Nothobranchius furzeri: one gene and its partner. The protein of the gene in region 1 interacts with the protein of each later gene in a biochemical or structural test. Links are inferred from orthologs where the notes say so. Each region holds a gene or a part of one and is shown on either strand. Other genes may lie near its edges. The genes, in order: fkbp8 and egln1a.

Region 1 (15,680 bases):
GGGTGAGTGACTAAGCAAATCAATATTATAACAGATAAAATGTTTAAACTTGCTAAGAGCACTTCGGTAGGACTGAGGACCGTTGCTCAAAGTTCAACAGAAACAGTCACCTGAAACTAAAGTGACGTTTGGAGTAAAATCTACTAACATGCATCTGTGAGCAGTGGAGTCTTCGCCCTGATGTTAATATGCACCAAAGTGGTGCATTTACCTTTACAAGAGTGTTTCTGTGGAAGCAACAAGACAGAAAGACAAAAACATTACAACCTATAGGGGGAGAGGAGAAACAAACATTTAGCATCACGATCCTACCAGAACTCGTTTGTCTTACTCTGCAGAGAAAGTCAAAGGCAGTTTAAACTGGAAATGTCAAGTCTGCATGTCGTTTAAGAAAAAAGTTAAACAAGCCAGATAAATAAATCTTTTCTGGCTCATTTGAGCTGAAGACAGAGGTATCAGCCCCTGCTTGGAGGAGAGAGATATAATGTGTCATCTTGTCATTTTCTGTGTCTGTCAAAGCCAAGCTAATTGGTTAGAAAAAGAGCATCTTTATTGGAACAAAAACACACACATTTATTTTAAGGCACCATAGAGCAGCGCTTTAAACTCAACCCCAAACTTTGTACAGGAATTAATAAAAAGTGTCATACCTTAAGTTATTAGAAATTACTATCTTACCTGCTGCAAATAACTTCAAATAAAATTAATCTTCCAAATTTCACAGCAATTCATGCAGCATTACTTAAAAAAACCTTTTACACCACCATTTCTCATGTTGTTTACGTAGACTTCTGTAACTCTATATAAACATAATTATCCGCAGCAGCCTTAAGACAGCACCTCTGGTGTCTCCAAGGGACAAGTTTGAACAATATATCCTATTAGTGCTGCTCACATAATTATTTAATGCAAAGCAGACATATAAAATAACCTAATTTTCATTAATCAATATTAAATTTTGAAGGTGGCGCTGATTTAAGATGTCAGTAATTCATCATTAACCTGTAAGGCCGGTATCTCAGGCAAAATACACTACTATAACAAAGACACAAACTATAAATTGGCCAATATGTCTTTGAAATGGCTCAAGACTTTGATAGCAACACAGGAAGTTAGCCAATGAGAAGGGATGATGAGAAGTGTCAGCTTCCCCTTCGACTCAAACCAGATAATCTGTAATCTAAAAAAAGGGGATGTTGGATTTTATTTTCTGCTCCAAGTTGAAGAACTTTTTCCTGCAGCTATTCTCTTCCAAATCTTTAGATCAAAACCACAACTAGAAATGTACTGGTTAATAAATTAAGCACTTCATTTATCAGACATCATTACAAATGGTCTTATAAAGTAGCACATGATACTACACTGCATGCGATGGCTGAAAAGCGGTGAACAGGTTGTGTGCTGTTTGACAGATTGGTGTAGGACTGAAGTAGGGAGTACTGGGCATAAGTACCAGGCTGCTGCAGCTGATCCAATAAGCCCATACAGTGGAACATGCTCCAGCGAGTGACCTTGTATAGCCAAAGCACCATATATACTCATCTGAACAGAAACAGTGACTAGGCATTAGATACGACTAGGGTGCAGGGCAGACCTATTTACAGCAGCAGCATGAAAACAGATCCTCTGAAATGATGAATCAGCAGAACTTGCTGCAAATGAATTCATCTTTACCCAATGGCCCCACCTACTGGTCAGAATGGGACAATCTGTTCAGCAAGACTAAACAATGTACACTCGCTAGTCACATCACACTATTGGGTACACCTGTCCAACTGTTCCTTAATGCAAATTACTAATCAGCCAATCACACGGTGGCAACTCAGTGCATTAAGGCATGTTGACATGGTCAAGACAATCCGCCGCAGTTCCAACTTCAGACTGTGGAAGAAAGGGGATTTAAGTTACTTTGAACACAGCATGGTTGTTGGTGCCAGACGGGCTGGTCTGAGTATTTCAGAAACTGCTGATCTTCTGGGATTGTCACACACAACCATCTCTAGGGTTTACAGAGAATGGTCTGTAAAAGGGAAAACATCCATTGAGCTGCAGTTCTGTGGGCGAAAATACCTTGTTGATGACAGAGGTCAGAGGAGAAAAGCCTGACTGGTTTGAGCTGATAGAAAGGCAACCGTAACTCAAACAACCACTCCTTACAACCACGGTATGCAGAAGAGCATCTCTGAACGCGCAACACATTGAACCTTGAGGCAGATGGACTACAGCAGCTGAAGACCACACCAGGAGCCACTCCTGTCAGCTAAGAACAGGAACCCGAGGCTCCAATTCACTCAGGCTCACCAAAGCTGGACAATAGAAGATTGAGAAATTGTTGCCTGGTTTGATGAGTCTCGATTTCTGCCACAACAGTGGGAAAGTAGGGATGCACCGATCAGGTTTTTTGCTGCCGATCACCGATACCGATATCAAAGAATGCTGATCACCGATACCGATCACCGATACCGATCACGTGGATTGGCCAAAAATTTTCTACAACATTATAATGAGTGCTACAAACTACATAATCTGGGAATAAAGGAAATGCAACCTAATCTAAAATGGTCTGTATTAGGGTTGTCACAGTGTGAAAATTTAACCTCACGGTTATTGTGACCAAAATTACCACGGTTTTCGGTATTATCGCGGTATTTTTTTTAAACGTGCTACATTTTCACACAATGCAATAAACCCTGTATGTCAGGAAATATTGTCTTCAGTTTGTGTCTAAATTTAGCCTAAAATGTGTTATTTTGTAATTATGTTGTTTATTTGTTTACATTTTTTCCCTTTAGTCTTTAAAATACCAATATTTGCCCATAACTTCTTATTTTATGTCTGTTTGATGTCATCATTTTAAAAATATTAGATCAGATGATACGCAGTACTCAAGTAGCCTTCTAATCAGATACTTTTTTACCCTTACTTGAGTAATCCGTATATCAGGAAATTATTGTCCTCGGTTTGTGTCCTTCCAGTGAGCTTTGCAGATGTGGGAAAATGTCATCAGGCAGTAATCGTTGTTAAATTCATAATTATTCTCGGAGAGAGACCAACTCTTATCTGCCCCTGGGAGCCCCGTAATGCATAGCGTCGTTTCAACATGGGGGTGTCCGCGACACGGTTTATATGCAGGTAGCGGCGCTGCGGCTGCTTTATATAGCGACTCGTTGCGTTCTCCCTCAACCCCAAATCCTCGGATCACGCATTTTAGCTAAAATGCTAACGTTAGCTTGCCTTGCGTTGAGGGTGATGGTCACGCAGATGTGTCATGACATTTGAAGCGTTGCTGCCTTTCACAGACAATTTTTCTGCACGTACTGCAAACAGGATAGCCGTCCATCTTCTATAAACTCCTTCGGCATTCAAATATCCAAAAATGCCCGTACTTCCGACTTTGTCTTCTTTGGGGGATAATAAATGTCCTCCTGAGCGCTGCCGTCTCCTCCTTAGGCCATTATTTCAGCTTTAGCTTCAAGAAAGTTTTGGTCGTAAACAACAAAGTGCGCATGTGCCGCCGGTCCTGCAACTTCAGCAGATGATACGGTGGCTGGTAAGGGTCACCGCGCCTACACCGCAGCCACGGTAACCCACCGAGATAATATAGTTTTTTTTAAAACAAGACGGTTATTATTATTGTCAACTTTTTCTACCGGGGTTTACACTGGTTACCGTGACAACCCTACCTGAGCGGTCTGCTTTGATCTATTTTGAAAAGTCCGATCAAAACCGATAGGGGCGCTATCGGCCGATTGGGATCAAATGCCGTTTCATCGGTACATCCCTATCGGAAAGTAGGATCAGAATTTCGCGTCAGCAACATGAAAGCATGGATCCATCCTGCCATGTATCAACGGTTCAGGTGGAGGTGGTGTAATGGTGTGGAGGACATTTTCTTGGCACACTTTGGGCCTCTTAGTACTAACTGATCATCGTTGCAATGCCACAGCCCACATGAGTACTGTTGCTGACCATGTCCATCCCTTTATGACCACAGTATACCCATCTTCCAGCAGGATAATGCACCATGTCATAAAGCTCCAATCATCTCAGACTGATTGTTTGAACATGACAATGATTTCACTGTACTTAAATGGCCTCCAGTCACCAATCTTAATCCAATAGAGCACCTTTGGGATGTGGAACAGGAGATTCGCATCATGGATGTGCAGCCGACAAATCTGCAGCAACTGTGTGATGCTGTCAGGTCAATATGGACCAAAACCTCTGAGGAATGTTTCCAGTACCTTGTTGAATCTATACCACGAAGGATTAAGGCAGTTCTGAAGGCAAAAGGGACCTGGTACTAGCAAGGTGTACACAATAAAGTGGCCAGTGAGTGTAGTTTACCAGACGTTTTATAAAAGGCCAAATGTACCTTGTTGCTTGGTTCCAGCTTCAGAGCCTTCCGTAAAGTTTGAATGGCTTCTGTGTATTCAGCCTGCAGAGCCAGAACCTAAAGCAGAAACACACAGCAGGCAACAGGTTAGAGGAGTCTGAGAAACACAACATGAAAGAATCAGAGCAAAGAGCACCTTGCCCATTCGAAAAAGTGCTTTAATATTCTCTGGTTGATGTTCAAGTGCTGAAACACAAGACTTCAGTGCTGCGTCATAGTGGTCCAGCTTCAGCTGAGAAGCAGCCATGTTGTTTAGACACTTTACTTTGACATCCAACAGCTCGTTCTCCTCCTCGGGGCTGATGTCAACTGCTCAAGGAAACATGATAAACAGTTAAGAGTCCTTATGTATCAAAATAAGAAAAATCAACTGTTAGTATCTTGTTAATATCTTTTCTTTTAGAAGGAAATATAAAGCTTTGCCTGACTCCTGCACATGCTTCTTACCTTTGGAACAAGAATCAGTAATCTGCAGGGCAACGCCATATGAGTTGACTGCAAAAGCATAATCCCCACGTTGGTAGTGAACATTCCCCCTCTCCCTCTTCTGAACAGCCAGGGCTATTTTCTCCGAGGGAGGAAGCAGCTCCAAGTCAGGTGCATCTGTAGCCTCCAACAGCTCCACCTCTAAGGAAAGCTCAGCATTTGGCGGAATGTCAGGATCAAGACTAGGAAGTGAAGGACGCAGGAGACAGAGTCAGGGACACCAGCCGTAGGAGACAGTTCACAGATATTACTGTCATGTTTCCTTCTTTTTCAGCAACCAAATGCAGGCACATTTACTGAGCACAGTGTTAGGAGGAGACACACTGGTAAATATAGCTTTAAAGGCATAGCTTCAGAGCAAATATGAACCGATATTGTTATTATCCACAGGCTTGATCTTCCTCACCACACCATTGTTTTAAGTGTTGGCTTAATAAAACTTCTAATCTTTGAAGAAACCACAAACATCCCAGACTCATTAAGCATTAATTCAACAATCAGCTGTCGGGGACAACTGTGAGCATCTCTCTCCTGCAATGTCCAATTCTTTAATATTTCCTCAAAACATCTCTGGTTTGAAAACTGTGACGTGAAAGTCATGTCTACATTTTGAACTAATAACACTAGATATAATGGCCCTAACGTGGCAGACTGTTCAGGAGCATTTCAAAATGTTTCCTACCTTCCTCGGACACCGTATGCGTATTTTGCATCTGTCTGGATGAGTGCTTTCTCTCCAATTTCCATAAGCTGCACTGTCAGATCCAGTGCCTAAATAGATTAAAGTGTTTTTTGCTTTAATGACTTACATGCAAATTTAACACACACACACACACATATATATATATATATATATATATATATATATATATATATATATATATATATATATATATTATTAAAAACCTATTCAACCAATCATCTGAGTTTTTCTTTTTCTTTACCTGGATGACATCACCATCTCCCAGAGTGAAAGCGAGATCACATAGCTCCTGTGCAAGTGTACCATCCATCAAGTGTGTTTTAAGATGGATCTTTACGACCTGTCCTTTGTGAGGCCGACTGTCACGTCCCTTCCCTGCTTCAAGGACCTTTTTCTTCAGCTGGTCGTTACCTAACAGCAGATAGATCTGTTTATAAAATTGGTTACATATAACGGAACCATTAAATGTTCATAACTATACAGTAATGGAATTCTAGCTTCTGCTGTGAATGCCACTAAATATTTGGAAAACATACAAACAACATACAAATGCAAACTATTAGCATGTTGTCTGTAAGAATGTGTCTGGTTTTGTCACATTTCCCTCATACCTAAAACATCTAGCCATTCATCAATGTTGCCAGAAGGTTCTGGATCTTCAACCCTTTTCTTTTCTGCATCTTCTGTTTTTTTACTGTTTCCACCCCCGGCATCTTCCAGAGGAGGAAGGTCGTCATAAATGTCTTCATCACACAACACCTCAAAGTCCTCCCCGCTGTCCAGCAACGAGGTTTGTCCATGCTTCTTAGCAGCAGGAGGTCCAGCTGAAGACTCCATTCTCAAACGTGTTCAGTCCTCAGCACATCACCTGATTAAGGAAAACAGAAAACAGCTTGAAGTGATTCACTTTCTGTGAAAAGTAAAACTGTGTATGTGCTGAATCCTAGTGAGGAAAAAAAGCCTTCAACTATGTGCAAGTCGACGTTAAACACTGTGATAGGTCACATGATGATAGCTACACAACTGTTTACCCAACACCTCCTTTAACGTCTATTTATTATTTTTAATTTTAGCAAACAATGTGGCAACATTTCGCAAATTTAATTATTACGCTACCTGTTAACTGTTGTGCCCTGACAAATCTAGCAAGAAGTTTTAACAAGTTTTCCTCCAGCTAAATGCCCAAGCGGCTAGCATGCTACTGCTAATGCAAGTAGCATTAGCCGGTTAAGCAATACAGGTACTAAACGATAATAACGAGTTTTTACTCTATTATACGATAAACCATTGGGTTTATCACGTCAATGCAGTGAGAGTGGGTCAAAGTGTATATGCGTTAATCGAAATAAAGTACAACAAACCTCCAAGTGGGCTTGTTTCGGTCCTGAGCTGTCCCTTCGTTAAACTCAAAGTGAAGTCAGTTCAACGTTGTACTGATGTGTCGGTAGTGAACGAACTGGCTCTAAGAGCCGGCTCTTTGAAGTGAACGACGGGAGCCGGCTCGTCATTGGGAGCCGTCCCCTCCCCTTTTGCTTTGGTGAACGCCACAGGCAATTGGTCAACATGTGTAACTGCGTGTCCAGACTGTCCACACACAGAGCAGTAGGGGCGGGGAAGAGGGAGGATCAGACTCAGACACACAGCAGAGCACATGCGGGTGGAGGGAGACGAGAGGGAATGAGGAGGAGGAAAAAGGCGAGAGAGAGAGAGAGAGAGAGAGAGAGAGAGAGAGAGAGAGAGAGAGAGAGAGAGAGAGAGAGAGAGAGAGAGAGAGAGAGAGAGAGAGAGAGAGAGAGAGAGTGCGGCAAAGACGGTGAGAAAATGAGCGCCAGCAGTCAGAAAGTGGAGATTTCTTAAAGTGTTCAGTTATTAAATCCATTCAAATGATAAATAGTTTATATATTGCAATTTTTTACATTAGTAAATCATGTTACATATATTTTAGCATTTTTTTTGGTTATAAATATACTCTACGCAACAGAAAATGTGAGGAGCCACTTGGGAGCCGAAAGAGCCGGCTCTTTTTGGTGAGCTGAGCCAAAAAGACCGGCTCTCTAAAAAGAGCCGGAATTCCCATCACGTCGTTGTGAGGCGGAGGACCCAAAAAATAAAAAAAAAGTACGCGTGTTGATATGTTCAGCAGCAAGCGAACTTCAGCCCTGTGCTTCCTGTTAACCTTGAGCTCCCCCTTGGTGCAAGTTAATATTTTACCTCACTAACATGGAAACGACAGCAGTTTGGAGTTTCTAGTAATTTTCCTTAATTAAAAAGGTAAAAGTAGATAATAATAATAATAATAATAATAATAATAATAATAATAATAATAATAATAATAATAATAATAATAATAATAATAATTAGAAGAAGAAGAAAAAGAAGAAGAAGAATAGATGACTGAATTTTTGTTATTTGTAAAGGGACATTGCATACTAATGAACATTTACATATTTCATGTAGGTAAATATGCATTATTTTAGCCCGGGTTAATTTCCAGCAGTAAATGTTAAATAAATGTAACATTATTTTGTCCAATTTGATTATGTTAATAAAATATTCTCAAAGCATATGGACACGTTTTTAATCATGCTCTGCAACATGAAATTTCAAAACCCGCGTCAACGCCAAAATCCCAATTGCCTTTCTCTATAGTTGAAAACATTTGACAGCGTGAACTGAATCTTTGGCTTCTATTAGTTTCACCTTTAGGCTGCCACATGTTTCAGTAAACTTAAAAGAAAGATTGTAGCCACTTCTAAAATATTTTAAAATAATTTATGCATGGATTTATTAGGTTGACATAACATTATTTATGGTATTTGTGCTTCTGGGTCAGTTTCTTCTGAAACCCTCCAAAATTGCATTAAAGGATTACACAGGTTTTTAAAAGACATTCAGTGCCTTTTTTACTGAAGCAGGACAACCATGTTTTTCTATAGTAGTAGTAGGTTGATTTATGAGCATGTGCTTTTTTCCACCTGTCTACAAAATCACGCTTCATTTCTGTAGAATAATTGTTGGACAGTAATAATTAGAAAAACAATCAGCTACACATCATATAGTGAAACCATTTTTTTTTGCAAATATAAGCAATATTAATGCTTACCTTTTAGGTATGTTTATAAAATTCAGGAAATTTCATGGTTTCACTTAAATATTTACTAGTTGGGTGCAGTCCTGATTCTGTAATTATTTAGTGTTAAAGCAACATCTCTGACCTTTTGTTTATCGTGTGGAAAATTACAATTTGAAATATTCACATATATTTATTATTATTTTCCAAAAACCCATTACTTTAGATATTTTCAAACAGCAAACTTAATGACACATAGACCTGTCATAAATAGCAGATTTAAAAAGGTACAAATATATCCAATTTGCTTACATTTGCATTTTTTTAAATCATGTCTACACTTGTGATTATTTGGTTTTCATCAAATGTTTTCTTCCAGAATAGTACCTTGTCATCAGTTCCGGCATCAATTCCCACCTTTCTTGCTGTGAGGAAAACAAAGAAATTCAAACAAGAGGGAAAAAAAAAATCAAATGACATTTATTATTGATGCATCGTTTCTTTTTTATAAGCAAATTGTCTGTTTTTCTTTCAGTCTAAAAGAACTTTACAATAAAAAGAAACATACAAAGAACATCTTTATTACCTACACAAGACAGCTAAATCCCTAAGACAAGATTCTCGACTATCCTACCATGAGATACAAAGCAAACCCAAGAGACAGACTGCTTCATATTGAATACTGCCGTGTCATTAGAGGACTGTGATTGGAGAATCCTTTATATCCCCATCCTTTAAACCCCCCTCCCCCCAAGCAAAATGACCACAACCCCCCGCCCCCTCCGACCAGCAAATCTTCCTAATGGTACAGTATTATACATCACAATAGAAGTACAGAGATGGCCAACGATCAATATACACAGAGGACTGAGAGAGGATCAGTGAGAGAGCTTCAAACTATACAATGCTATCACGCACGTGAATAGTTTTTCCTCGTAAGTTTTAGATTTTGATCTCTTTAATTTAAAATGTTTCCTTTTTTTTCCATTTTTAAAAGTTTTCGTTAATCAATAGAAATCCTTCATATGAAAAACTGCAACCTGAGGTCACATGCACTATTTTTTTGAGAGAAGATGCCCTTTGGAAAACCTATTCACATGATTCTTTAAAAAAAACGTTTTCAAAACCAAACAGCAACATTTGACTGAATCGAGTCAAGGGCAGAGCGAGGACGCCGCAGCAGCGCGTTTGCTTCTCTCTGGCCCATCCTCCCCCCGACACACACGAGCCTTTAGCATACAGTCCGTGTGTCATTTTATACATTTAGTCACTTTACAGTATTCTATAAATTTAGCCACACAAGCCTTTCTCACATCCTTTCTCTATGAAAAAAGAAAACATGAACAGTTTTATTTATAATTTACTTTCAGCTGTATTCATTGGTAGTGACTGACATATCAAAACATGTCAATGATATCAAAATGCATTATACAGTATTTACAAGAAAACAAGAGAGAGAAAATGAAAGGGTGGGAGGGAGGGAGGGCGGTGTGTCACTGCTTCTAAGGAACGCTGGACAGAGAGAGATTTCCAAGCCACTGATGGCCAAATCTTGGAGATACCCCAACTGATATCTGGGCACTATCTGTTCACAGTCGTATCAGTAAATCATAAGAAGTCTCCGACAGAGGTTGCAGTGGTTCTTTAGTTATTGTTAGTGGATAGATCGAAGGAGGCAGAATCGTTGAATCAGACTGACTGTGTCACCACACTTTTGTTTTTGAGTAGATTATTGGGGCTTTAACTTCAGCTGAATACATCAGAAATAAAAATAAATGTTGAAAACAATCTACAAATGGTTCCTTCTCTTTAGACGAGCTCAAGATGAATCACATCACACAAACCCATGAGTCCATTACCCTATTTAAAGGGGCTTTCCTAGAAAAACAACGTCGTTTTGCAGAGACTGTGCCGGTTTCGTTTGAAAGTTGATCAACAGAATCTGTGACATCACTTGGGCGTCATGAACCAGAATGGGAAGAGCATTTCTGGTTTCACAGACACCTTGTAAATAACAAATAAAAACAATCGAATTTTGTTGTTTTTACAGACAAGAACAAGACTACAGAGGAGACAAGAAGATGCAGAAAATCCTCCATCGTGGTCTGTTTCTGAATACGAAGCAGCTCCTCTCCTGACAGTTGGCTCATCGTGTCGACAGAACAGAAACAGACAGCTGTATTTGGGTTTACAAAAGACAAGACAGACAAACAGCTGATCATCCATGTGCATCAACAGTCAATCTGTATCAGAAAACAGCAATGCTCAGATCAGGCCTCATTAGAAATCTTTCCTGTGAAAGTCTAGGAGAAAGATCCAGGAGGCAAAGACAAAGTTGCAATGCATTTTTGTGCAGAGGTGTCTGAAACAAATCTGTAAGTCTAAAGAAAACAGTCAGAAAATCAATCATTCATCCAATGTGTGCTTGCTGCTGCAGAGATAAAACACAAGAATAGCATCGGCTATGCAAATTAGAACAATATCAACTCAAAAAATGCATGAAATCATTCTAGCCCTAAAAGATCATCACAAGTTCATGTTTTAGTAATCAGTCCAGAGCATCTGAATGAGGGTTTTCTGTCCCAAAACAGTGCTAAATGAACAGAGTAGTCCTGATAATGCCCGAATGCCACCCACAAGAGCAGGTTTGGTTTTTGTCAGAGATGCAGACTCGATGCAGGTTCAGGCTCTGGGGCCCTTGACGGATCCTAGCAGGAGAGAAGAAGAAGTTGTAGTGAGGAGCTCCTTCCTGCTGTTCCAAGACCATTTCATGCTCTGACGCCCATTTTACAGGCAGCAGGATGTTGAGTCTTCAGGGAAGTCCTGCTCTCCAGGGCAATCCCCAGGAGCTGTGTGGCACACCATCCACGATGATAAAGGAGAAGGAGGACGAGGAAGGTGATGCAAGACACAGCAGGGTGGTCGGGAGGGGGATTCAGATAAAAGGAAATGAAAAAGGTGAATAAAAAAAAATCACACACTCATCGTCATGTTGGGTGAATACTGTAAAACAGAGACAAGAGAGGAGAGACTTGTTTATTAACATTACAGTTCACGCTGGTCTCACATTAAGAATAAGAATTTGACGCTGATGTTTCGTTCATTAATATGTGCGTCTGAACAGCCTGCAGGCGTGTGAATGAGTTCAGTAAATTTAGGGAAAATTAAAGGTTTTTGGAGACAAACGTTTCCATCTGTCCTGGTTTAAATTGTGACTTTTTGTGTTTTAAAAAACAGATCTTATAACTCTGATATCTCTGATCGAAAATTGTAATTTTGAGTCAGGCTAAAGGAATGTTCAGAAATAAAGAGCCAATCCAACATTAAAGAGCAAGTCACTCCAAATCAACATTTTTTGCTGATAAACTATATAAATGAGTGTCTGATTGTGCTGCAGACAAATGTAGTCAATAACTCGGCACTAGTCTTAGTTAAAATTTAAATATTCTGCCTAAAACTGTCAGCGATGCACCGTCGTCAGGCAAAAACTCTGCACTGCATTTGAAATTAAATCTTCCGTCGCTATTGGCTAAGAGGTACACTATGATGTTAGATAGTACATTATGATGTCACAATGTCGTGAGTGTGTGTATTTGTTAGCAGCTCCGCCATCTCGTTCTACTAAGCAACAGCATTTGTTGCATTTTTCAAACAGGAAGTGGGAGTTGAGTAAGAATCTGGCAGGGGGTGACTTGCTCTTTAAACATTTTGCACACATATCAAACTGGGTTCCCATGGTAACAGTCAAATCATCTTTCAGCTAAAGGGGAAAAAAACATCAAATGAATACAATCTGCTAATTGTGGTTTGTTTTACTATAAACTGGTCAAATAAAATATGTTTCTGCTTTAAAATCAGATTTAATACTCTCAGCAGTGCCTACATGCCCATGGCACATGGCTAACTGAGTAGTAGACGCTCTCCGGTGCACGGCTTGGGTTTTAACTTTCTCGTACTCACACTTTCACTTTGGAATGGGTTTAAAAAGTTGCCTGCCATCTCTCCGTCATCCCGCGGGGTGCCGGGAGGATTGTTCATGCCCGCCATATTGTTGGGAGAATTCTGCAATCCGGATGAAAAAAAAAAGTACAATGATTAAAAAAGTAGAAAAAAACTGATCTGGATGACATATTCAGAAAACTCGTCTGACTTACCTTTGGCAACCCATCCATGTCACCAGAACCTGTGATCAGAAATGGAATGAGAAAGAAAGCCATCACCATTAACTGATCACCATCCAGGATCTCCTGCAGAAGGAGCATCTACTCCCCTCCTCACAAGTAATGGCCTCTAATTAAGCTATTTGTTTCAGATACAGATGAGCAAGAACCTCACTGGCTTTGCTGATCACATCACACCCACAGGATCAATTGGCCTTCTTACCGCCCCACTAATCTGTTTTAGCTCTGATCAATACAAAGCTGAAAGACAACACTTCCTGTCTCAGCCATAAGAGGGCAGAGTCCTTCCTTTAAAGACCTCTGACCAAAAACCAAAACAAGAAATAAACTCAGCAGACCTGTTACGTAGGCCGCGACCCACCTAGTGATCCGTTCATATGATGCTGCTCCATAGCTCCCATTCCACCCATGGGTCCATCTGGACCTGGTCCCATTGGGAACTAAAGACAAAAAGAGTCAAATCACTATTTGTTCTTTATGCATCCAAGTTGAATAAATCCGTTTTGCTCAAACGTCTCAAAAAGATCAACCGCATATATTAAAATGAACTTTGATTAATCATTGAAATAAAAAGGACCTCACTTACGCTAGGTCTGTTTCCACCGGGACCGATGGGATTCATCATTGTGTAAATGTTTTCACTGGAATTTGTAGAATCTGTAGAAATAAAATGATTGAAAATGTTTCAAGTGAGAAAACTGTAAAGCTTTAATTAGACATGAAGGTACCAGCAGATAAAATCTGTCAGTTTTCAGCGCAAACATGCAAATATTTAGAAAATAAATCTTCTAAAGTAAGTCAAACTTAAGGAAACAGGAACAAATGATCCCGAGTCTTGGCCCTGTCATTCGACATATTTGATGCTATTATTATAATAAATATTCCAACAGTAGAGTATATTCTGTAACAGCACGGGATCACACATGTCAGCTCCCTGTGTCTCACAATGAAATTAAACCCATCGTTCCTTATTCCTGTCATGAGGAAATTAGATACGGAAACCGTGGCAATGGAGCAACACCCAGAACATGCTGCGTCACACCTTGTGAGCCTGTCTGTCTGTCCTGCAAAAATCCAGAGGGATAAGGTGACCTTGCTCTGGCACTGCAGGTGGCCGATAAGGAAAAATAAAACAAAGACTAGAAAACCGAAGAAACCTCATCTTCTGGTGTCCTTGAATGTGTCTTGTGGTGTTGTGACTGCGTAGGGAGGCACATGAGAGGTGTGCATATATGAGCGAGGTTTGTGCGCATATCAGGTGTGAGCGCACACGCCTGGCAACCACGGCGGAAACATGTTTTCCCTGCTGATTTGTGTGTGTGTGTGTATGAGCAGTGCTGTGAAAAGGTTGCCCCGCAACGTATCACAACAGAGGCACGTATATAAATAATAAATGGGCAGACATAAAAAGAAACCCTCTACAGGCCAACAGGAACAGGGTATTTACAGGGTATCAGCCTTTTAGTGTTCCGTTTTCAGTCCTCCACCGAGACGCTTTATTAATGGGTTGAAGCTGGGTAGAATCAGACTACTACACACCTCAACAGGAGGCAGTTCTGTGCAAAAGTTTAAAACCAGCCATCATTTGTTTGTGTTCCCCTCCCCCAAGGTTGCCAGACATTCCAGTAATCTTTAAAAATGATCCCAATAAATAATAATTCAGGCTCTTTGAAGATGTTTCAAAGATTTCCTTAGGACCTCGGCTTCTTTTATACTCAATTTCAGTTCAGGTTTTCGTCCTGACCTTGACTGCAGATTCTACAAATTTTTCTTATATGGAGAAAAATGGATATGTGGAGCTCGAAAAGGGAAGTGCGGGGCTTAAAATCTTTTTATAGCATCCATCCATCCCTTTTCAGCCACTTATCCAGAGTCGGGTCGCGGGGCCAGAAGCCTGAGTCGGGATGCCCAGACTTCCCTCTCCCCAGCCACTTGAGCCTGCTCTTCTGGGAGAATCCCAAGGCGTTCCCTGACCAGGTGAGAGACATAGTCCCTCCAGCGTGTCCTGGGTGTTCCCTTCGGTCTCCTTCCAGTTAGACGTGCCCGGAAAACCTCACCAGGGAGGCGTCCAGGAGGCATCCTGACCAGATGCCCAAGCCACCTCAATTTTTTTCTTCTTGACATGGAGGAGCAGCGGGTCTACTCCGAGCCCCTCCCGAATGACCAAGCTTCTCACCCTATCTCTAAGGATAGATGCCCTGCAGAGAAAACGAATTTTGGCCGCTTGTATCTGCGATCTCGTTCTTTCGGTCACTACCCAAAGCTCGTGACCATAGGTGAGGGTAGGAACGTAGATCGACCGGTAAATCGAGACCTTTGCCTTCCGGCTCATCTCTCTCTTCACCACGACAGACCGGTACATCGCCTGCATCACTACAGGCACAGCACCAATCCACCTATCGATCTCACGCTCCATCTTTCCCTCACTCGTGAACAAGACCCCGAGATACTTAAACTCCTCCACTTGGGACAGGACCTCATCCCTGACCTGGAGAAGGCATTCTTCCCATTTCTGAATCAAGATCATGGTCTCGGATTTAGAGGAGCTGATTCTCATCCCAGCCACTTCACACTCAGCTAAGAACCGCTCCAGCAAAAGGTGGAGATCACGTTCTGATGAAGCCAACAGGACCACATCATCTGCAAATGCAGAGACCTGATCCTCAGGCCACCAAAACAGATCCCCTCAACACATTGGCTGTACCTAGAAATTGTGTCCATAAAGGTTATGAACAGAAATGGTGACAAAGGGCAGCCTTGGCAGAGTCCAACTCTCACTGGGAACGAGCTCGACTTACTGCCGGTGATGGACCAAGCTCTGACGCCTGGTACCCCATACTCCTG
Region 2 (15,527 bases), on another chromosome or scaffold:
TCTTTATAAAAACAGACTGGCGCACGGCAGTGACCTCATTAAAAGCGCCGGTTAGATTAGCCGCGGCTAGTCTGTTCACACCTAGAAATCCCAGACCAGACCCGCTCCAAACGAACAGGGGAATCACGTTAATGATTCCTAACAAAACCTTTCGACATGAAGATGTTTTGGTGCAGATAATCTTATTTCGAGGCTGCACCATGGGCGCCCGTCCTCACCCGTTATATGGATATATACACTGATGGCGATTCGCCGATGGATCTAAATACCCCGGGGAATCCAAGTAGCACCAAAGTTGTCAGCGTGAGTAAACAAACGTACTGCATGCTAGAAATTAAGTCCGGATTCCAATAAACGGGAGTTTCCTTTAAGCACATAAGCGTGAATATACAACTACGTGTCGGACTTGGTATGCTAATTAAGTTGGGCTGTGACGCGCCTCCCAAATTCGCTGTTTATGTTTTTGTTTATTTATTAGGCAGATAAAACTTGGATTGGAGACAACTCGCGTGGGAAATTGCTATGTAGCCATGTGGCGTCTTCTTCTGTTTGTCTGGGAGGCGGAGGCTGCTTTACGGCATCTGGCCGTCGTGCGTGTCGTGTACTTGAAGAAGGCTGTGTATAATAGTCCATAATATCGATACCACAGGGATGGAATATCTAATTTAGATACCACTTTTAGTATCGATTTATATCTGGGTATCGATTTTTTTGACAACACTAACGTGTCGTCAATAATTTGGCAGTTCAGTGCATCTTGGTTAAAATTCAAATATTCTGCCTAAAACTGACAGTGTTGCGTCGTCGTTAGGGAAAAATTCTGCACTGTATTTGAATTTAAATCTGCCACCGCTATTGGCTAAGAGGTACGCTATGATGTCATCTGGTATATTATGATGTCATAATGCCATTGTGAGCCTGTGTGTGTGTGTGTATTTGTTAGCGGCTCCGCCCTCTCTGTCTGCCAAGCAACAGCATTTGTTGCATTTTTCAAACATGAAGTGGGAGTGAAGTACGTCTATTGTAGGGGGTGACTTGCTCTTTAAAGTTAGGAAAAGCCACGGACAACCCAGTGCTGCTGCAGGATTACATTTTCAGTTGGATGCCTGATTTTAGGGGAGTTTCAGCATTTTCAAAGAAATGAATGCACAACATGTCCCGTGAAAATAGTTGGGGTCGTAGACAAAACATGGAAGCTTCTCAAATCACTCCAGTGATTTTTTTTTGGGGGGGGGTTGTTCCCTGCATGTATCAATATAAACGGCTAATCTTTCGCTCCGGAAAATTACCGTTGCTGAACCAGGTCCTGAGGAACCTGACATCATAAAATCAGCAGTCTGGTTCAGTAAGTAGTGCAGTGCTTTTCCAATAGAACTTTATCTATTAGTGTTAACTAATTTAAGTGATGACTTCCTTTTAGACCACAAAATGCATCATATCACATGTCAAACCTACAAAACAACACACCTGCACTATACGAACACTGCCTCTTTAGTGTTAGAGCACTTATGCCACCTAGCTCCAGTATGCTAGCGCACGTAAACATTATTATTATTTCTAAAGTCCATGTCTCTGGAGAGATTAGAATGAACAGAGAAAGCATTCAGCTACTGGATCTGCAGAGTAACGAACACGCCTTGCTGCCTGCTGCTTTCCAGAAAGCTCTGAAGTGAGAGGGGGAAACAGAAACAACGGCTTTAAATAACTCTCCGGACAAATGTTTTCCTCCGTCTCTTCCAATATGAAATGTGCCGACATTGTGTTGCTTCTCTTTGGGTCATTGATATTCACGGCCCTCCAGCTTTGTGCAAGTCATGCTGGTCACAGTCCAGCTGTGTGCTTGCCAAGGCAACTGAGGCAGGCATGGCATGCGAGGAAGCTCTGGGTGTTTGACACAGGGGACAGCTGCACGGATCAACAACAAGAACTGAGATGATTCTGAGGAACGTTTCTCGTCCGGCCGTCAGACAGGGAAAAAAACCTGGATAGGAGAGGAGGGATTCATGGTTCCACACATGATAAAAAGCTGTGTTTCATAAGTGCAAATACAAAACAATAGTTTCCATTAAATCAAATTTTTGTTAAATAACCAATTCATTGTCCACGTAAAGGTTTAACCTTGAAAAAGAACCCAAGTTTAAATGTCAGTACATCGCGCACAAAATATTAGATAAAATAATGCCACCAAAATTACACTACCTAAAGGATTATTAGGAACACCATACTAATACGGTGTTTGACCCCCTTTCGCCTTCAGAACTGCATTAATTCTACGTGGCGTTGATTCAACAAGGTGCTGAAAGCGTTCTTTAGAAATGTCGGCCCACATTGACAGGATGGCATCTTGCAGCTGATGGAGATGTGTGGGATGTACACCCAGGGCACGAAGCTCCCGGACCACCACATCCCAAAGATGCTCCATCGGGTTGAGATCTGGTGACAGTGGGGGTTGTTGTAGTACAGAGAACTCATCGTCATGTTCAAGAAACCAGTTTGAAATGATTGGAGCTTTATGACATGGTGCATTATCCTGCTGGAAGTAGCCATCAGAGGATGGGTACATGGTGGTCATGAAGGGATGGACATGGTCAGAAACAATGACCCGTGGCATTGAAACGACGCCCAGTTGGCACTAAGGGGCCTAAAGTGTACCAAGAAAACATCCCCCACACCATGACACCACCACCACCAGCCTGCACAGTGGTAACAAGGCATGATGGATCCATTTTCTCATTCTGTTTACACCAAATTCTGGCTCTGTCTCAACAGAAATAGAGACTCATCAGACCAGGCAACATTTTTCCAGTCTTCAACTGTTGAATTTTGGTGAGCTGGTGCCAATCGTAGCCTCTTGTTCCTGTTTGTAGTGGAGACGAGTGGTACCCGGTGGGGTCTTCTGCTGTTGTAGCCCCTCCGCCTAAAGGTTGTGCGAGTTGTGGCTTCACAAATGCTTTGGTGCATTCCTCGGTTGTAACGAGTGGTTATTTCAGTCAAAGTTGCTCTTCTATCAGCTTGAATCAGTCGGCCCATTCTCCTCTGACCTCTAGCATCAACAAGGCATTTTAGCCCACAGGACTGCCGCATACTGGATGTTTTTCCCTTTTCACACCATTCTTTGTAAACCCTAGAAATGGTTGTGGGTGAAAATCCCAGTAACTGAACAGACAGGCCCGTCTGGCACCAACAACTGTGCTACGCTCAGAATAGCTTAAATCACCTTTCTTTCCTGTTCTGACATTCAGTTTGGAGTTCAGGAGATCGTCTTGCCCAGGACCACACCCCTAAATGCATTGAAGCAACTGCCTTGTGATTGGTTGATTACATAATTGCATTAAGGAGAAGTCGAACAGGTGTTCCTAATAATCCTTTAGGTGAGTGTATTTAAGTAACATCAAAAAACTCACTTGGATCTTAAGGAAGCCATTTGTGATGAGCTGTAATTAGAAGCTTTTATAAATTCTAGACCAGGTGTACTCTACTCTGTTCCTGGAGGGCCAGTATCCAGCACATTTTAGTGGTTTCTCTGCTCCTACACACTTGATTGAGTGATGCAGCTAGCTCATTAGACAATGCAGAAGTCTGTTGTTTACCTGCTGACTAAAATCAGGTGTGATGAAACAGGGTTCAAACTAGACATGCTGGACACCGGCCCTCCAGGCCCAGAGTTGAATACCCCTGTTCTAGACGGTCTTTGTAAATCATTTGACCACAAGAACAAATATAACTATTTTTTATCCTTACAGACTAAATAGCGTCAGTCATACACTGAGTGATTAGTCTGGGGGGGGGGGGGGGGGGGGATTAGGGTTTAGTCTATAATATGATATATGTGACTGAATTATTCTCACACTAAAATCTCCATGATTTAGATTTTAGAAATTAAAAAAGCCTATTTGTGTTATTGGACTGCACAATATGCAACAAAATCCACTCACTATATAAATAAAAAAATATGGTATTTGGGGCTTTTTGTGTGATAGCCGCCTGGAGGGGAGAAGGAAAAGGAAAAGGGCTGGAAGCAGCTCAATTCCTCCTGGGTTAGTCCATCACAACAAGGGTCAAAATGACCACATCTGGTTAAAAAAAGAGCTGCAGGTCACACGCAAGCCAGCAGCAAGGATGGAGCCAGGCTGACATGTAGCTTTTTTAAGTTTGGGCTAAAATGACTTGCTTTTTTTTTATTTTTTTTATACAGGGCTGGTGGTTTCTAATCGCTTTCATAATGTATGCTTACTCCAAAAACTACAAGTTCTCCTCGGTGACGCGTGTGTTGTTAGTGAACTGAAGTATTCAGCCAGCCACCTGGCCAGTGCTGCGTCACTCTGGGTCCCTGTTAATGATCCACATGTCTATCCGACTTCAGGGGGCTGTTTTCCAAATGGATCAACGTTCAGCATAGTCACTTGTGCTACTGTCCTAGAGACATAAAAATCTACTACATTTGCATGAATGGATCAGCGAATATTTGAAACTGATGATCTGGTGGAATTTTCTAGGCTACTTCTTCTTGTCTACTGAAAACATGCCCATCATGCTGTGATATGCAAATATTTTACTAAACAGCTCTTTTAACAGTCACAGTGGTTGTGCAAAAATAAAATTGTAGCCATTTGCATTGATCGTAAATGCTGCTTAAATAAGTTTCTTTGTGACGGACACAAGAAAAAGAAGTGAATTAAAACAAATACACAGTTATGTACATCATGGCCGATGACAGGGATGCTCGATTATATAAAAAAAAAATCACGGCTGTTTTGGTCAATATTGAGATCACAATTATGTACTTAATGAGTTGAACAAAACCAAGAACATTCTAACTCAGCACAGAAGGGGATTCGAACCTACAACCTCCTTACTGTGCCATAAACCGCTCCACCATAGTAAAATCGTGAAATAAAAATCATTATTGGCCTAACAGCAAGACAGACTGCCATAGATGTCATACCCATTTAGAAATATTTCAGTAACATCCTGATTTTTGCAGAAAGCAACAGGATGACTGTAAAAACCCGGCCTTCTGAGGAAAGAGACCAAAGAAAGCTATATTTGTGAGACATTAACTACATATTCATGCAGACATAGTTTAATTACCTTCTTGGGACAACTTTTTAAAACTTGACAAGATGCATGAGTTTAGGCTTTGTAAGGGACGGAAGAGACAAAAATAATCATTGATTTCCTTCATTACATTGTTTTTGTGACTGTTGGAATGAAAACACCGATCTGACAAATTGCACAGCCATAATTTAAGTTGTAATTGTAATTATGTTTAATGCAATAAGAAAATTTGGCTTTCTTTTGAATGATCCATGATATAAAAATGTGCTGTGTGCATGCAAACCTTGCATGCTGCTTTAATCCAATCAGGAGTTCATTAATTGCGTCTTACTTGTCCCTCGGTGGGAAAACTTAACATTCAGTACAGTTGAGTTCTTTTTTTAATAGCGCCTTTCATGCAAAGCTGTTGCCATTTGGATTAGTTTTACTCTGATATTTAAGAACGTGCACACTTTGATCTGACTTTATGCTAGCAAGCTTACTTGCCTCGTACATCTTGTTTTATTCTGCCAAAACACTTTTTAGATTGAGTCATTTTAAAAAGTTTAATTTAGATTGCTTAAAGCTGCACAGTGGGGAATCACAGTGGTCATGGTTGGCCTTCAGCAGCTTATTTCTGTTGGTGGGAGGCATTTCTGTGTTTTGCATCCATGTGCTGGGTGGAATAATCCACCTGACTCGGGGCATTAGCCATGCTTTCCCCTGGAGGCAGCTTACCTCCACTCATATGCATTTGCTGACTTAAAGTAGGTTTTATGTAGTGACTGATGTATTACTGAACAATAGGAGTTTCTCTGAGGGACAACACTTCTGATTGACAGTCTTCTACCTGGACATGCTGCAATACTTACCTTTGTCCTTCCATTTATAGTGTAGTTCCCCAGTTTGCCATTACAATGTCTGATTAGGTCGTCCATGCGACCCATGAGGAACTTGATCTTCTCGCAGCCGTCCTCTCCCCCCTCTATCCACGTGATTTTGTCCCCCCTGATGTCTTTAGGAGAGTCGCTCTTTTGACTGACCAGCTGTCCATCTGTGAATTTACCCTTTTTGTACAAGGCCTTGACATTCTCCAGAACGCTCAGCCCGGTCTTTTCTCCTAAAAAGTCGTTCACGACGCAGATGCCGTGCTTGTTCATGCACGGTACTATGATCTCCACGGCGAGTCTCTGAGGGGACAGGCTGGTTTGTCCGTTAGGTGTGGCGGGGCCGTTAGATCCCACCTCTCCCGCTCGATACCCGGCTGCAGGTGCTTCTGTGTCTGGGGCTGGTGGTGAAGACGGGGAGTTCGACTGATCGGGGACATTCTCCGTGCTGGTTTTATCCGGTCCCCCGTCCTCTCCCGACGGAGGAGTGTGTCCGGGTATCTGTTTGGAAATCAGGGACTTGTCCGCCACCTTACAAATGAGCTTGTGCTTCTTCCAGTCCTGTTTCTGGTGCTCCTTGCTACAGTAGAAGGAGCTTCGGCACCTTCCACACTTAAGGAGGTTCTCCATCTCCCCACAAAGTTCACAATACTGTCGGTCTCGGTCCAAATCGCTCTGCTGCTTTTCCATTACGAGAGCTGCAGCGGTTGTACTGCTCCTTTAATTTCGATCCTTCACACGCGCCCTGCTAACCGTCTACTTACTTTGGGGAAAGAGCCACTGCCTCTGTCTCGCTACGCCGAGCGAAACGGTCGAACTAAACTCAAACGCTCGCCATTTTGTCGGTCTTGTCCCGGTTCCGCATGTTCGAACGGTGAAGTAACGCCACAGTGTGCGCCCGTGGACAAGCATTCAGCCGCGGGTCGGCTCGAGGGCTTCGGGAGGCATTTCGACAGGCTAGCTGTCGGGATCGGTCTACTGCATGGCGCCGCTCTGTGTGCGTGCTGTTTGTCCGTGGCTCTCGTTGACGTCAGAGCTCAAACCCCGCCCCCGCGTTGCCTTCAGGAGTTGTGGGTCAAATGAAATACACACCAGGGCCGGGACACGTGGAGGGTATTTGACACATTTTGGTTCACTGCTGAAGTGAACTATTAAAATATATAAGTATCATTCCTTTTCGGACAGCATTCGTCTCTTTGCTATGACGTAACCGGCCTCGATGTGTACTCACAAGCTTCCTACCCTTGGATTCGGAAACATTACTTGAAATATAACAATTTATTCCTCATGAAGAAGGGTGGATTTCTGAAACACTGGAGAACCCCAGACATCGTATCTCCATGTATACACAGATGACCAACAGACTGAACATGAAACGCTTCAAAGTACAGAGAAAGCACGTTTGGAAGAAGAAGAAGAAAGTATCATTTCTATAGCGCCTCTCAAGATAAAAATCACGAGGCGCTTCACAAAAACAAAAAATAAAAAAATGTAAAAATATAAAAAAGCATTTAGAAAATGTTTAAAAATATATTTAAAATGAGCAAAAATAAGCCCATTCCTGCTACTCTGTTTAAAAAAAACAGATCTTATAATTATGAGATGCTATTGTGAGATACTATCTCATAATTTCTATTTCTGTGGCCGTTTCCAGGTTTCAGCCCTCCTCCACCTCCTTTGCCCATGGTGTCCCACAAGGCTCACATCCACATCCTGAGCTCTTTTAAAGGAATCTGCTGCCATCTTTTCGCAGATGACATTCAACTGTACATCTCCATATGGAAGCAGCAGCTGCTGCATGCTTTGTTAGTTAGACTTTGTTAGACTCAATGAAAAAATGTATGACTGGGAACTTTCTAGAGGTGAATGAAGACAAGACCGAGATCATACCTCTGTGCCCAGATAAACTTCTTCAGTGATGCTCTTGGTGAGCTTGCTTCTCACACCAAACCTGGTCAGGAATCTTGGTGTGACCTTTGACCCAGCTCTCACCGTGGTTTCTCATGTCAGTTCTCTTGTTCGCTCTTCCTTCTTCCATCTCAGAAACATTGCTAAGCCCATTCTGTCCTGATCTGATCTTGAGACTGTTCTCCTCACGCTTAATAATAATAATAATAATAATAATAATAATGCATTGAACTTATATAGCGCTTTTCTAGACACCCAAAGACGCTTTCACACACTGCTAGTGATGGTAAGCTACTTGTAGCCACAGCCGCCCTGGGGAGGCCTGACATTTGGCGCCGTCGGCCCCTCTGACCACCACTAACACAGGCAAGTTGGGTGAAGTGTCTTGCCCAAGGACACAACAGCAGGATACCCCTGGCGAGAGCTGGAATCGAGCCCATGACCCTCCGATCATGAGGCAACCCGCTCTACCACCTGAGCTACTGCTGCCCCAGCTTAGACTACTGTAACTCTCTTTTCACGTGTCTGAGCAGAACCTCCCTGAACCGTCTACAGGTGGTTCAGAACGCCTGTGCTCGGCTTCTGACCAAGTCCTCCAAACACACCCACATCACCCCGTTTCTCCTCCAGCTTCACTGGCTGCCAGTCAACTTCAGGGTTCATTTCAAGATCCTGGTTCTGGTCTATAGGGCCTTACATGGACAAGCACCATCTTACATTGGTGATCTTCTTAGTCCCTACACCCCCAGCAGGTCCCTGAGGTCCAGTGATCAAAGCCTACTGGTTGTGCAGCACCAGGCTAAAGGTCAACAGTGACAGATCATCTGCTGCTGTGGCCCCCAGACTCTGGACCTCTCTTCCCCTGAGCCTGAGATCAGTGGACTCAGTGGTCTCCTTTAAAGAGCAGCTGAAGACTCACTTGTTCAGGGTGGCTTTGGTGTGACCTCCTGCTCATCCTATTTTTCCTCATTAGCTCCTTTTCATGCAGTAGTGTTTGTCAAATCTGTATTTTTCAGGATTCAGTGATTACCTTTTTCTTTTTCATTTACATATTTCAGTCTTAATATTTCCTTTTCTTGATTTTTATCGTGAGAGGTGCTATATACAAGGTTGTTTCTTCTTGTTCTTCTTCTGCTTCTTCTGATAACAGCTTTAACCTGCAGTATCTGATTAGTGACAGGTTGCAGCCCTAATTGCACCCAACACCTACAGGCACTCTTTATTTCACGCTTGTTCAACTTCTTTTGCGTAACAAATAACTTGCCTTAAGAGGATGCTGTTCATTTAAAAGTCAGGGGTAGATTATATGGCTTCTGTGTCGTTGGACAACAACCTTTAGCTGTTGCTGGGGAGTTTTGCAGCCAGGAATAAAGCAGCTGAGGATCGGCACATCGAAATCTGGTGTTTCAGCTTGTCTTTCTGGAAGGTGACCCAGAAAAGACTGTGGAAAGGACATTATAGGTCTCCCTGCTAGGGCTGCTGTTTCTGCAACATATCCTGAAAAAAATGAGGAAAACAAGTCAGGATTAGACATTAGTTTAAGATTAAATTTATTTTCAGCAAAATATTTTTTTAACTCAGAATGCATGTTGTGCACCTGAATGGACATCTGACAAGCTTTGACTCATAATTTACAATGAATGAGTAAAACATGCTTAACAAATATAAGATTAATGTTGAAAAAGGTTTTAAAAAATATATATGTGTGTGTGTGCGTGTGTGCGTGCGTGCGTGTGTGTGTGTGTGTGTGTGCGTGCGTGCGTGTGTGCGTGTTTAAAATAGTTGCAAAACCACACATTCAAATACATTTATATGTATTTTGAGAGCAGCAGCAGCTCATCAGGTTGAGCGGGTTGTCCAGTAATCGGAAGGTTGCAGCTTCGATCCCGGCTCTGATCCCACCTTGCCTGCTGGTGGTGGTCGGAGGGACCGGTGGCGCCTGTGCTCGGCAGCCTCGCCTCCGTTAGTGCGCCCCAGGGCAGCTGTGGCTACATCGTAGCTCATCACCATCAGTGTGTGAATGTGTGTGTGAATGGATGAATGATACACTGCAGTGTAAAGCGCTTTGGAGTCATCACTCTGAGAGGCGCTGTACAAGTGGGGTCATTTATCATTTTAGTAATTTGACAACTCAATTGTCACAGTTCCTACATTTCCCATGATGCACTTCGCTGTGTTTCCGCTACGTCTTAACAGAAATAACTTTTCCCGCCGTTCGAAAAAAGGCACTTTTTGTAATTAAATTGTGTCTTTAAAATATGTGAAATTCATGGCACATATCAAACGGGATAAAAAAATCTTTAATCCTCTCATACATTTTTTTGAGTTGGGGGGATCCGTGGCCCGGAAGTAGATGGGCGTGACTTAGGTTTTCCTGTGTTACTACGGTTCACATGTATGCTTGTTGACAAAAATAAGAAATTTATTCTAGCGTGACATGATTCACAGACTTTAATTAATGATTTTGTTTGTTTCGCAACGTACGTTTTCTCTGAAAGAGTCGATAGTCATTGTCTTATAACCTCGATAACGCCAGAAACGTGGAATAAAGTGCGCGGAGACGAAGGCTAATATTTAACGTTCGTCTAGCTAGCTAGCTAGCCTAGCTTTAACTGAATTCACTAAAATATAACCTGCAACATTGAAGGCATGAATAAAAGGGAAGGTAAGCCTCGTATGTGAAACTAGAAATTATTACCTTTATTTTAGCTAGGTTTTGTGGGCTGCCACAGTCAGCAGCTTAAGATTATTAATTTCTTGTGGAAGTTATAAAATACATTTCCAGTTAGCTACTAGAGTAGCCTCGTCCTTCAGAACAACATGGCGACTGTTTTCTGATGATTAAAAATGTAATTGATTGGGAGTAAACATACTTGTAGTTTAGTTTGTGCAAAGAACAGGTTTATAGTTTTTTACTGTGTGTGTGTGTGTGTGTGTGTGTTCTAGAAATAGTAATTTTTCAGGTAATTTTATGCTTTTTTTTACAGTACTGCAAATATATCGTTTAGCATATCAGTGAAAGCAGTCTCAGTTACAACATCCTTTTATCAAAAAATTTATAAGCACTAAAATTAGATTTAGTTAACATTCTCAATAAATAAACCAGAAACGCAGTAGGAAGAATAAAAAGATTTTAGAGACAAAGCCAACTTTAAGCTCTAACCATGAGTACACAGAGACCATTGCAGTCTTTTGTGACCACACTGAAACTACTGATATTAGAGCAAAACACGACTCATAGCAGTGTTGCTTTGTTTATGTGGCAGAGACACCACATACTTAAACGCATATATTTAAATGAAAAGAACGAGTAAGAATATGTCATGGTGCAAACATTTTATGCAAGAAAATGACAACTTCACTATTGTGATGTATTTTTTCCTCCTTTATCATTATTACTGTAAAACCTGTTATTTAACCGTTCATTTATATTTGTAATTTGCTCATTAGATTTTATTTTTCCCTTCTGAATAAATAAATAAATAATAAATTAATTAATCAGTTATCAGAGATAGAATGAATTAATTAAATAAGCAAATAACTGTCAGTAAAAATTGGTCCAGAAATTCCTGCAAAATTGCTGCAGTTTCTCTTAGAGCCCACTTTAAATAAACTACAGAAAAAGAAGTGTTGTTGAATTCATACTGAATTATCACCTTTTAATAGTTCCAGGTGAAGTATGTTTAAGGAAAAAAGTTGATGCTGCACAGGAGATGAGCATCAACTCGACCTCGCCGGTCATCACAGCCTTCAGAGGTAACTAGCTGCACCCTAAAAGCTGACTTTGTGATTAATATATTCACTGCAAAAACAAACAACAACTCTATCCCTGTTTTTAAAGTTTTCCAGCAGGAGCTTGATGCAAAGCATGACAAATATGAGCGTCTCGTTAAGATCAGTCGAGATGTCACTATTGAAAGCAAGAGGACCATTTTTCTTTTGCACAGAGTGACCAAGTAAGTGACTTTCCAACTTCGATTTTATGCAGCCTTAGGTTAATTTATTGAAACAAAGGGAATACTTTTGGTCTTAAGTTTCTGGTAATAATTATCAACAGATAACCCAAGTTCATGCCTGTAAACATCTGCCCTTTATGACAAGAAATGTACCTAATAAGAAGGGTTGGGCATCGAGAATCGAGCATCGATTGGAACCGGTTCCAACTGTTCATTTTTCCTGGAATCGTTCAAAGTTTTTTATTTCGATTCCTAGGCCCTGTCCACACGTAGCCGGGGATCTGCCAAACCGTAGATATTTTTCTACGTTTTGGCCTGTCATCCACACGAAAACGGAGTTTTTTCACACGAAAACGGATCTTTTTAAAAACTCCGGCCAAAGTGAAGATCTGCGTTTTCTCCGTTTTGGGTGTCTGCGTGTGGACAGACAAAACCGGAGTTTTAAGGTCCGCAACGTCACTTTCCGCGACAAAAAATGCTGACATCACGTGTGCGACCTGTGTTTACACTAGCCGACAGCATGGATGCCCTCAGAGCTGCGCTCGCTTTATCAATCGTCCAAGCGCTTTTTGCTTGTTTCTTTTTGCAAGCGGAATTACTGCTCCTTGCGGAAGACCACAGACGAAGGACGAGGTTAAGAACGGGGGAAGTACTGCCGCCTACAGGTCTGGCATGTCCTTAACAACGTATTTATCCGGGTACGTGTGGACAGAGTTTTGTTTTTAAACGAGGTGGTGTGGATGCAAGTTTTTGGAGGGGCAGATATTCGTTTTTTAAAAACCTCGGCTACGTGTGGACTAGGCCCTAGTTTCGATTCCTAGAATGCCGACGGAAGAGGAATCCGCGGCCGATCTCCTTGAAAAATAAACGTGATCTGCAAATTGTGATCAACGCTTTCCAGAGCTGATCACATCAGCTGTCTGTGTGTGCAGCACGAGTCCCCCCTCCCCCCACCCGGCGCGCAGCGGCCAAATATAAACAAACGCGTCTGCCGAACCTTTACTCCATAATGTAAACTTTAACTCCTGCAGCGTAGAGGAAACTTGCTAAAAGATGTCAACACGGTGGATTTAATAGAAGCTTTAAAGAACAAACTCTGGACGGTGTGAGGTGATTTTGTCTCACTGCAGAAATAAAAACACACACGGAGCGTCAGCAGTCAGACGCAGCCGCTCACCAACACTCGTGTGTGTGTGTGTGTGTGCGCGCGCGCGTCAGAAGGCTGAATAATTAAAGTCATCATGCTAGAGCAGCTTCTCTGTGGTGGACCACACCAGCTTCTGCCACAATAACTTATAATAATAATAATAATAAATCACACACGAAGCTGTGAAATTTCCTTTCTGAACTGTTTCTGTTGAGTTTTAATGTTTAAACCTGTTAGCTTGTTACTGACAGCAGCTACGGTTAAGTTTCTGTTGTGACTGAAGCTGCTGCAGCATGGAGGTGCAGTTCTCAGTCATCCTGGACATGATCATCCTGAGAGTTTTAGCTGGAAACAGCTGCACGTTTCTGGATGTGTTGGAGACATTTAGCCTCTCATCCCAGAGGCTGCTTCCAGACTTTAGTTGTGGTCAGAAACAAACACACTGGTTGTGCTGCAAGTCTTTTTCTTTTTTCCTCCAAAACATGTTTTTGTCTAAATGAAGGTGATGATGTTGTTCATAGAGTTAAAATTCATGTTGAAGTTAAGATTATTTCATCCAGTAGGACCTGTGGTTAGCTGGCTCATGTAGAACATGCCATGTCTTGAAAGAATCGGAATCGGGAATCGATAGGAACCGGAATAAAAACGAGGAATTGGAATCGGAGTCGTTCAAAATCAAACGATGCCCAACCCTACTAATAAGAGACTGATAATCAAATAGCTCTCATATTAAAATTTAAACACAAAGTGTGACAAGTAAATGACACAAGCCTTCCAGGAACAGCTTGGTGATGAGCTGCAGCACATTTATTAGCAGGAATCCCAGGAATAGTCAAGCATGTGAGTTCTCGTTCAGTCCGTTAACTCGTGTAGATGTGCAACTCAGCCAAAACACAACGTTTATTCCTTTACTGGATTATTAGTAAAACTTATTGAGCAATCAAAGACTGAAGTTGTAGAAACACAACAGTTTAGATGTTAAAAGTCATTTAAATGAGAAATAACTTTGAATAAATTTGACATGAGTTTAAATAAATGCCTCCTACTAGTTCCCTTTGGTTGTAAAGTGTTGCAGCTACTGAGGACGTTCTGAATGAAGCTGAAGGAAAGCTGGATGGAGTCAGGCAGAAGATCAGTCAGATCGCAGAAGAGCTGAGAGGAGGAGATATTAATCAGTTTCACCGAGCTTTTACTCCAGGTGAGTTGTCACATGCAAATGTGAAATGACATTTTCACTGGCAACTTTTTTTATTTTGTAACGAGCTCAGGGTTTTAAAGACTGCTCCACTGTTGCTGGTGTTAAGTCATTTATCTGTCTGATGCTGATGGCGTGAGAACATGATCCTGATGCTTTTGACAGACACACCCTCTGATAAAGTTGTTTTTGACCAGCACCAGGACCCATAGCCATTATGTCTGCAGAGCTGAGAGAAAGCCATTAGTGGGAGTGAGCTGTTATCTAGCAGCTGGGAAGGCCCTGCTGTGTCCTCCACGACGTGACCAGTGGCAGTTTCCACCAATTAGTGGCCTCTTCTCTTTTTTTTCCCTCCCTTTTTTAACCTTATTAGATTGCGACCGAGTTGACTTTACGGGTTTCCCAGATAATTTTAGCTGGAGGAGAAGTTAGCCGTGCCTGTTCTTTTATACAAGGACCATCAGGGGATAAATGTGGACGCTGATAACAAGGCCGTGCAACACTTTGATGATTCTGTGAAAACAGAAACGTACTTTTCTCTTGGTTCTCTTCTTGCTCAGTAAACCATAAACTTATCCCCTGTACTAAAGCTATAACTCCCAGTACTTAGACGCAGTTCTCATCTGTTGTTGTAGATATGATTCATGTGGGCTGTGCACTCTCCTAACTCTGTCTTTTCCAAATGTGGTGCCAAGAAAAATTCCTCCTTTTCCGGTTTGCTTCTCCCCTTCAGTCTCTGTTTGAACGTTCTATCCAGTGATTCCTCTTCGTGTTAGTGTCACTGACCAAAGAACCGCTCCTCTAGAACAAACAACAAACAGCTTCTTGTGTAACCTTCTCATTCATGTTATGTCCTGTTCTCCTTGGGTTGTGTCATTTCCCTTTAAGTCAGAGAGGCGCAGCTGTGAACTGTTGAGACATTTCTATAGAGGGCTAGCCAATCACCAAACGGGCCTGAATATTGACCAATTCTTGTTGCCAGATGAATAGTTTTGGTGCATCTCTGCCTGGTTTATAATATTTTCTGTGTCTCACTGGGGTGTAAAGAGTTGGAGACAAAAAACTGTGAGAAAACATGCAAAGTTTAGGCCGTAGTTGCACTGAAAAGACACACGTGACACTTTATCAACATGTTCTTTTATATGGCCGGACATATAGAATAGAATAGACTTATTCTATTAGACATATTTGCAAACACATAGAGACAATTGTGCAAATAACAGGTAAAGACATCCAGAACCCAGCTGTTGCAGAGGCAACTAACTGGTGACTCCACCAGCCGACAGAGTACAGGCTGTGTTCTTAGACGACAGGTCCGTCACCTAAATGTTTCCCAACAAGAACAGAACCAAACTCTAAATGGAACACGTGAAACGTTTCCATTGCTTGGTTCTTTT

What was found.
Region 2: the proteins of fkbp8 (region 1) and egln1a form a complex in vitro, tested with the Homo sapiens proteins (2 studies listed by BioGRID, with this or other methods). The link is inferred for Nothobranchius furzeri from reciprocal best matches to the Homo sapiens genes FKBP8 and EGLN1.

What each region holds. Positions count from the first base shown.
Region 1 is NC_091748.1:52,423,023-52,438,702, forward strand, and holds the start of fkbp8 (peptidyl-prolyl cis-trans isomerase FKBP8), read right to left. Parts: upstream 7,079-15,680; 5' UTR 6,947-7,078; intron 6,454-6,946; 5' UTR 6,423-6,453; coding exon 6,197-6,422; intron 5,997-6,196; coding exon 5,827-5,996; intron 5,654-5,826; coding exon 5,565-5,653; intron 5,065-5,564; coding exon 4,844-5,064; intron 4,706-4,843; coding exon 4,533-4,705; intron 4,454-4,532; coding exon 4,376-4,453; intron 228-4,375; coding exon of another isoform or gene 144-227; exon of another isoform or gene 1-143. Other genes in the region: ssbp4 (single-stranded DNA-binding protein 4), read right to left, coding at 11,424-11,504, 12,616-12,717, 12,810-12,838, 13,198-13,276, 13,423-13,493. UniProt on the Homo sapiens protein: Constitutively inactive PPiase, which becomes active when bound to calmodulin and calcium. Seems to act as a chaperone for BCL2, targets it to the mitochondria and modulates its phosphorylation state.
Region 2 is NC_091752.1:2,291,771-2,307,297, forward strand, and holds the start of egln1a (egl nine homolog 1), read right to left. Parts: upstream 7,062-15,527; 5' UTR 6,615-7,061; coding exon 5,910-6,614; intron 1-5,909. Other genes in the region: tsnax (translin-associated protein X), read left to right, coding at 10,482-10,497, 11,499-11,588, 11,674-11,788, 14,003-14,133. UniProt on the Homo sapiens protein: Cellular oxygen sensor that catalyzes, under normoxic conditions, the post-translational formation of 4-hydroxyproline in hypoxia-inducible factor (HIF) alpha proteins.